Macaca fascicularis: one gene and its partner. The protein of the gene in region 2 purifies or fractionates together with the protein of the main gene of each other region. This does not show direct contact. Links are inferred from orthologs where the notes say so. Each region holds a gene or a part of one and is shown on either strand. Other genes may lie near its edges.

Region 1 (4,478 bases), on a different chromosome or scaffold from region 2:
GCACTTTGGAGGCCGAGGCGGGCAGATCACAAGGTCAGGAGATCAAGACCATCCTGGTTAACACGGTGACACCCCGTCTCTACTAAAAATACAAAAAAATTAGCCGGGCGTGGTGGCGAGCGCCTGTAGTCCCAGCTACTCGGGAGGCTGAGGCAGGAGAACAGCGTGAACCCGGGAGGCGGAGCTTGCAGTGAGCCAAGATTGCGCCACTGCACTCCAGAACTGGCGACAGAGCGAGACTCTGTCTCAAAAAAAACAAAACAAAACTGTGCTTGATCAAATGCTCATAACTAATTAAAAAAAAAAACACAGACTGAAAACTCAAGGCCACAGGTTTTTAAACCTAATACTCCCTCACAGAGCCTCTGTAGTAGAAACCGCAGTAACAGTACCAGGCACTTACTAAGCACTCAGCAAGGGGCACCTGCAAAGTAGTTAACCAACATCTTGTTTACTCTTGTTGACCTCCCACTGAACCACCTCTCCTGGGAGGTGGGGGATGTGCTTAGGGTTACCCCATGTAAGCGGTGGAGTGGGTATTTGAAGGGAGGGTCCAGATTCCAGGATAGGCATTCGACAAGTTATCTGACTAGATAAAACAGCCAATTCAAACGGCAGAGGTCCTTAATCGGTTAGTATTAAATAAACGTATCTGCTATGCTTATGTTTTAGTTTCAGCATTTTTCAAATAATTATCAGCAATATGACTTATAAAAAAAAAAAACAGGCCGAGGCGGGGGGATCACTTGAGGTCAGGAGTTTGAGACCATCCTGGCCAACATGGCGAAACTCTATCTCTACCAAAAAAATAAAAAATAAATAAATAAAATTAGCTGGGTGTGGTGATGTGTGCCTGTAATCCCAGGTACTTGGGAGGCTGAGGCATGAGAATTGCTTGAACCCGGGAGGCAGAGGTTGCAGGAACAGAGAGAGCGCCATTGCACTCCAGGCTGGGCAACAGAGTGAGACCCTGTCTCAAAAAAAAAAAAAAAAGAAAGAAAGAAAAAAAAAATTGGGCTGGGCGCGGTGGCTCACACCTGTAATCCCAACACTCTGGGAGGCCCAGGCGGGTGGATCACCTGAGGTCAGGAGTTCGAGACCAGCCTGGCCAACATGGTGAAACCCCGTTTCTACTAAAAAATACAAAAATTAGCCTGGCACGGTGGCGCATGCCTATAATCCCAACTACTAGGGAGGCTGAGGCAGGAGGATCGCTTGAACCTGGGAGGCGGAGGTTGCAGTGAGCCGCAATTGTGCCACTGCACTCCAGCCTGGGCAATAGAATGAGATTCCGTCTCAAAAAAAAAAAAAAAAAAAAAAACCCTTGGATAGCCTACATACTCTTAAATAAGTGAAAGTTAGAATTTTTAGTTATTATATAAACAGAATTATGAGGCATTAATATTATTTCACATTTCCAAGACAAATATGACAGATGGGCATCTTACAAAAATCAGTTGTCTAATTATCCTTCTTGCATCTGAATTGCAAGAACCAAAATCTGTCCTAATGACAAGTTTGAAGAATATCAACCAGTTAACCGTGATGCCAGAGCTTGCCTTGGACTTTACTGGAACATGTACCAGTTGCACTGAGTTTTATTAAACTGGTAGTAATTCTTCCTTGCTAACACTAACCTATACAAGCAACGCTGAGACGCGCGATTTTGCTTGGGTTACACTGAGATTCTTGTTTCTATGGGAGAAAAAAACTGCATAAGACAAGTCTTGTCTTCCTCCAGGGCCTGTAACCACCACAGACAGTCATGAAAAGCAATGCCTGGAGTCACAGGGGGCCAGTTCTGCTACATCCCATACCTAACGCGTTAAGCAAAGAACAGTTTATCAATGACCACACCACGTTAAAAAAAAAAAAAAAAAAAAAAGAAAGAAAGAAAGAAAAGAAAAAACAGTGCCCCTTACAGCCGGCTCCTCCCAGCCAGCATCTTAAAAACTTTCTCCACGGAATACGCGAAAACAACAATTTTAAGAATCCTAACAGTGGCAGAAGTGTAAGTTGAAAAATCCTGCTCGAAAATAAGTTTAGAAGCCGGGCGCGGTGTCACCCCAGCACTTTTGGAGGCTGAGAGGCAGGAGGATCACTTGAGCGCAGCAATTCGAGACCAGCCTGGACAACACAGCGAGACCCCCAACCCCCATTTCTACAAAAAGTTTTAAAGATTAGCCAGGCGTGGTGGCACACGCCTGTAATCCCAGCATTTCTGGGAGGCTGGGATGGGAGGATCGCCTGAACCCAGGAGTTCGAGACCGGCCTGTGCAACACAGCGAGAACCGGTCTATGAAAAAAAATATGTTTTTCTAAAGAAAAGTTTGGGGGCACCAAAGAGGCCCGCACAATCAAGCATGCATCAAATATCGACTTGACCGCCGCGTTCCCAACACAGCTCTCAAGGCGAATTGAGAGGTTCATGCAAAAAACAAGAAAGAGTCCCTTTTTGGAAAAATGGTCAAAATCTCCAAGAGCGCTTCCTCTACGAGCGCTCCCGAGGAGGGCGGCGGGCGGCGTCCGGGAAGAAAGCCGGAGGGTGGAGTTCACTTTTCCCTCCGGCCGGCGAGCGGCAAGGCCCTCCTCCATCCAGAGCCGGAACCTGGCACGCGCCGCCCGGGAAGTCAGGGTCCAGTGGGGGCGCCAGCCCGCGGCCCCCGCCCCGCGATACAGGCCCAGGCCCACCGCCTACGCGAGCCCGCAGCGAGCGGCCTGCCTGCCTGGGTCTCAGTCCGGGCCAGACCCCCGCCCGCGCCCGACCCCGCCGTCCCCAGTCCGGCCCCGGCCGCGCACTCACCCGTCTCCCACCACCACACACTTGATGGCCTGCATCTGGGCCGCTCGCTGGGCCGCGGCGGCGGCGGCAGGGCGCTGAGATAGGAAGCGGCGGGCTCGGGGCGCGGCGGACGAGCGCGCGGCTTGAGGGCGGCGGGGCGCTGGGTGCCGGGGCCGCTGTCCACGCCGCCTCGCCCTCCGCGGACTGGAAGCTCAAGCCCGGCAGCGGCCACCACCCAAAGCTCAGGAAAACTGCAGAGAAACAGGAAATGGCCGCTCCACTCACATCCGGCCTCCCCTCCCCCGCGCCGGCGTCGCCGCTCCCAGGTTCCGGGCGGGGCCGCTCCCGCCCGCGCCGCTCCCGGAGTTTCTCTGGACTTCGGGAATGCTCGGAAGCGCTCGGGACCGCTCGGCTCCGACCGCGGGGCGCGGCGGCCGCCATCTTGGCGCGCTAAGGAGGCCTGGGCGTGGCCGGACCTGCAGGTCCTTTCCCTGGGGTTCACGGTTTAGGCTTTAAGAGGAACCTGTCAGTCGGGCGCGGTGGCTCACGCCTGTAATCCCAGCACTTTGGGAGGCCGAGGAGGGAGGATCACAAGGTCAAGAGATTGAGACCATCCTGGCCAACATGGTGAAACCCCGTCTGTACTAAAAATACAAAAATTAGCCGGGCGTGGAGGCGCGCACCTGTAGTCCCAGCTACTCAGGAAGCTGAGGCAGGAGAATTGCTTGAACCTGGGAGGCGGTGGTTGCAGTGAGCTGAGAGGGCGCCACTACACTCTAGCCTGGAGTCAGAGCCAGACTCCGTCTCAAAAAAAAGGAACCTGTGGTGGCTGGGCGCCGTGGCTCACCTCTCGCCTGTAATCTCAGCACTTTGGTTGGGAGGCCGAGGCGGGTGGATCACAAGTTCAGGAGTTCGAGACCAGTCTCATCAACGTGGTGAAACCCCATCTCTACTAAAAAAAATACAAAATGGTGGCTCACGCCTGTAATCCCAGCACTTTGGGAAACTGAAACAGGTGGATCACGAGGTCAGGAGTTCAAGACCAGCCTGGCCAACATGGTGAAACCCCATCTCTACTAAAAATAACAAATAAAAAAAGTAGCTGGGCATGGTGGCGTGTGCCTGTAATCCCAGCTTCTCGGGAGGCTGAGGCAGGAGAATTGCTTGAACCGGGACCCAGGAGGTGGAGGTTGCAGCAAGCTGATATGGCGCCACTACACTCCAGCCTGGGATACCGACCGAGACTCCGTCTCAAAAAATAAATAAATAAAAAATACAAAAATTAACCGGATGTGGTGGCAGGCACCTTTAATCCCAACTACTTGGGAGGCTGAAACAGGAGAACCGCTTGAACCCAGAAGGCAGAGGTTGCAGTGAGCCGAGATCGTACCACTGCACTCCAGCCTGGGAAACAGAGTGAGAGTCCGTCTTAAAAAAAAAAAAGAGGGACTGTGGTTGCAGGAGCCACGCTCCCTGTCACTAACTCCTGCTCGGGGCCATCGGAGGGCACTGCTTTCCACCCCCCGTTTCGTTATCTTCATGTAATAACTATGTGCAATGACATTAGGTCCTTTTAGGAAATTCAGAATCTAAAACTATAAGGAAGAATAAAATCATACACCATACCTTTATTCAGCAATAACCATGTCCATTCAGTCAAAAAAATGTGTTGCCGGCCGGGCGTGGTGGCTCACAC
Region 2 (4,268 bases):
AGTCACAAGTGACCAGGAGACACCTTATATTGTGTTTAGAGAGAAAGCAATAATTCCATGAGACTTCCTTTGAGTACTGGTACAAAAACCAAGCTTCACGTGTTCCTTTGTTAAGGACTCGGTATACAGTAAGATTAGCTGTTCATACTATTCATTTTTACACATAATGGATTGTGAAATGTTAATCCTTAGCTATATGCAGGTGACCAATATGTCTTGGGTTTTTAAAATCAGTAGCACATAATCAGAACTGGCTACATCATTAGCAAGGCTCAGAGCAAAATAAAAATGCAGTGCCCTGTTTTTATAATTGTTAAGGATTTTAGGAGATGACAGAAGAGAATAAAACCCTGGGCATGGGACCCTGTGCAGCTGCACAGACTGCATACCTACGGAGCCAGCCCTGCATTTGATAGCCGTCAGATATAAAGGCTGACTTCTATTTATATATGCAGCTTTCAGTCAATTGCATGAATGTGTAAATTGCCAAAGAGAAATGTGATGGTCAGGTCTTTACTGTGAGTAAAGGACCAGGAACAGGACCAAAGTTTGAAAGGACTAAAGAAAGTCCCTTCTGACATTACAGCTCTATGTCTCTTGGTTATCTTCAGCCCATTCTCCCTTCAGTTCCTAAAGAAAACCGTAGGATAGAATTATATCCTATAACTATAGGTCATATAGGTAACAGGAGGATATGACTTATGTGATATATGTTCTGCTTGTAAAAATAATGTCAGGTATTTATCAGGGACTGCAGGGTGGGCCTTCTTCCTCTCCTAGATGAAGAACTGAGGTTCAGAGAGCTAATTATGGACGAGGCAGCTGGGATCCAAGTTCTTCATCACTCTTGTCCGCTGCCTGTCTCATAGGATTCCAGTTGATCCTGCAAGACAAGAGTAGCTTACAAAGGGTTTGCATATACCTTAATCTCATATCTCATTCCCAGTAGCACCCTTGTGAAATTGGCAGTGTTATCCCCAATTTACACACAAGGAAACAGAACTTCAGAGAAGTTGTGTCATGTTGCAAGGTCTTAAGATAGCAAATGGCAGAGCTAAAACTAAAGTCTGCTTTTTAAGTCATGAGTTCAGCCATGTTTTCTCTGCTCCCTACTTTGGGGACCCAGCTACTTCCCCTACATATGCCATTCCTTTTCCATCTAACTCTATTGGTTTAATTCTTTTCCAGTAGACTTTGTTTAACAGATGTTGCATTTCCCAAAGGAAAAGTGAATCTCCTCTACACTCTAAATAGCTAAAAGAATTATTGATGAAAGGACTTCAATTCCCTATAGAATTTTAGTTCTAGAAGCATATCTGAATAATGTAGGGGTTTACTTGAGTGAAGTTAGAGGTAATTGAGGAAGTGGAGGAGGAAGCTGTCAAGAGTCAAAGTTCTTTCAAAGATGACTCCAACTTCTACAATTGACCTTGTTAGAAACAAGAAAATGAGGCCTAGCTATTGGGCCAGGACAGCTCAGGAATTACATGTTCCACTGGGAGAGGTTTCCTGTACCTGTGTGACTATGAAATGCTACAGCTTACTTTCATGCATATGGCTGGTGTGACTCAGTTACTTATTTTAATAAGAGAGTTGATTTCCTTTGTTTATAGGCTGACAGTGAAAAACAGAATGATAGTTCGACTTAAGAATGAGGGCTTGTTCTCAGTACAGAAACAGAAGTAGCCTAGATCAAGAAGTACAGACCACTGCTTTGTACAATGGTCTCCAAACTTTGGTCACTTCATCAGGAAATAGTATGAGCACTTCTCTCCATACATAGTTATTTGCAAAGTATGCATGCTTCTGCTATTGTACTCTAAAACGTGCTGTATAAAATATATACAAAAAGGTCCAAAAAATGAGAAAAAGTAAATAGAAATAGGAAGTCTAATATTCTTTTTGCCTCCCCAGTGAATTGTCTTGTTCACTTCACTTTAGAAAACACTGCTTTCTGTGTTTTTGTTTTTGGGTTTTTTTGAGACAGTCTTTCTCTGTCACCAAGGCTGGAGTGCAGTGGTGCAGTCTCGGCTCACTGCAGTCTCTGCCTACTCAGTTCAAGTGATTTTCCTGCCTCAGCCTCCTGAGTAGCTGGGATTACAAGTGTGCACCACCACGCCCAGCTAATTTTTGTATTTTTAGTAGAGATGGGGTTTTGCCGTGTTGGCCAGGCTGGTCTCACTCTCCTGACCTGAAGTAATCCACCTGCCTCAGCCTCTCAAACTGCTGGGATTACAGGAATGAGCCACCACACCCAGCCAGAAAACACTGCTTTCTAAAGAATATGCATCTAGCCAGAACTTTGTGTTTTGACATTTTCAATTAAAAATGAAATTATAATTATATACCTGACATTAACTTAATGATCATCATTTTCTTTCATACAGCCTTTATCAATTCTAAAAAACTATTTTCTTTCATCTAAGTCACAATCAGTTGGGAATTTATTAAAATGCAAATTAATGGGCCCCACCAGAGAGCTACAAAATAAGAAATTCCTGTGGGAGGAGCCCATACAGCCTGTGTTTTTAACTAGCCTGTGTTTTTAACCAGATGATTGTGATGTACGCTTAAGTTTTAGAACCCCCATCTGTGGCCTGTTGCTATGGTATGCACCTGTAGTCCTGGCTACTTAGGTGGCTGAGGTGGGAAGATAGCTTAAGCCAGGAGTTTGAGACCAACCTGGGCAACATAGTTAGACCCCACCTGGGTGATTAGGTCAATTGAATCTGACTTTTGTCGACAAATTCATCTAATATGTTTTTTTTTTAATGCACAAAATGTCAAAGTTGAGATTTAATGATGCCTTTTACAATTTCAGGATTTACTTCAGATGCAGTATGAAGGAGTAGCTGTAATGAAAATGTTTGATAAGGTTAAAGTGAATGTAAACCTTCTCATATACCTGCTGAACAAGAAATTCTATGGAAAGTGAAGTGCCTGCAGAAATGTCATGGATTCTGTATCATCTGGATTAGGAAATGAATTTGTTTAATATTTTTGTTTTTAAACATGATTGAAATCACTGCTTATAAATGTGTGATTTTTTTTTTTTAATGACCAAAACTGTTCTGAAGAATGTACCCAGGTGCCTTTTTGCTAATCTGATACTATAATAGAATGAGACATAAAATGAATTAATGGAAACATATCCACGCTGTACTGTGGTATAGGTACTCTGATTGAAAACTTTGGACATCGTGTGATCTGTTTTAAAGTTGCGGGGTGGGGAATTTAGCTGACTAGGGACAAACATGTAAACCTATTTTCCTATGAAAACATTTTAAATGTCCCACTTGAATAATGTAATTCTTTATAGTTTTTTTTAATCTATGGATAAATGGAAACCTAATTGTAATGAATTATTTAGACAGTTTTAAGCCCTGTCTTCTGGGAGTTATCAATTTTAAAGAGAACTTTTGTGCAATTCAAATGAACTTTTTATAGGTAATTGAAAATGACAACACAATAACACTTTCTGTATAAAAGTATATATTTTATGTGATTTATTCCTACTAAATGAAAGTGCACTACTGCCTCATGTAAAGACTCTTGCACGCAGAGCCTTTAAATGACTAAGGAACAACATAGATAGTGAGCATAGTCCCCGCCTCCACCCCTCACAATTTATTTGAATACTTCAATTGTGCCTCTCAACTTTTTGTAATGCTAAAAAATCAGTATCTAGATGGTTTTTAAACGTATTATCTGGAAATTGTTTTATGTAAAATAAATGTTACTTAATTCCATTAATTTGGCTTTTAAGTTGTCTTAAAGTCATTTAGTGGGTAGGGGAAGATTCTTGGTAGGATTTGTCAGGAAATAATGCATTTCTTGCTGTACTGGTTAAAGTATAGAGCAAGCTGCTGTGAGGAAAAGATGCAAAACCCTGGTGTCTAAAACAAGGAGTAGAAGTTCGTTTTTCTCAAATTCAGCTCAAAGGTGAGCAGATCCACAAGGTAAAGAGTTTCAGGCAGGTCAGTTGGCTCTGTCCTCGTACTGATTCCCCCCAGCCGGATGAGGGAGAGGATGGTGAAGAAGTCCAGGGCAAGCCTTTTCAGTTATATGCATCACTTTCACTTCCACTTACATCATATTGGCCAAAACTGAGTCACATGGACACAGCTAGCTAAAGATAGTCCCTAACTAGGCAGCCATGTAGCCAGTGAATAGAGAGAGCTAGGGAGGGAATTGGGTCTGTTATTAAACGGAAGAAAAGGAGTGTGATTCCTGCCAACACTTTAGGAGTCTCCACCACAATAGGATTC

The links.
Region 1: the proteins of IQGAP2 (region 2) and RAC1 purify together in Homo sapiens (affinity purification with mass spectrometry; 5 studies listed by BioGRID and IntAct, with this or other methods). This does not show direct contact. The link is inferred for Macaca fascicularis from reciprocal best matches to the Homo sapiens genes IQGAP2 and RAC1.

Annotation. Positions count from the first base shown.
Region 1 is NC_088377.1:45,992,103-45,996,580, forward strand, and holds the start of RAC1 (ras-related C3 botulinum toxin substrate 1), read right to left. Parts: upstream 3,046-4,478; 5' UTR 2,839-3,045; coding exon 2,804-2,838; intron 1-2,803. UniProt on the Homo sapiens protein: Plasma membrane-associated small GTPase which cycles between active GTP-bound and inactive GDP-bound states.
Region 2 is NC_088380.1:80,675,908-80,680,175, forward strand, and holds the end of IQGAP2 (ras GTPase-activating-like protein IQGAP2), read left to right. Parts: intron 1-2,821; coding exon 2,822-2,935; 3' UTR 2,936-3,753; downstream 3,754-4,268. UniProt on the Homo sapiens protein: Binds to activated CDC42 and RAC1 but does not seem to stimulate their GTPase activity. Associates with calmodulin.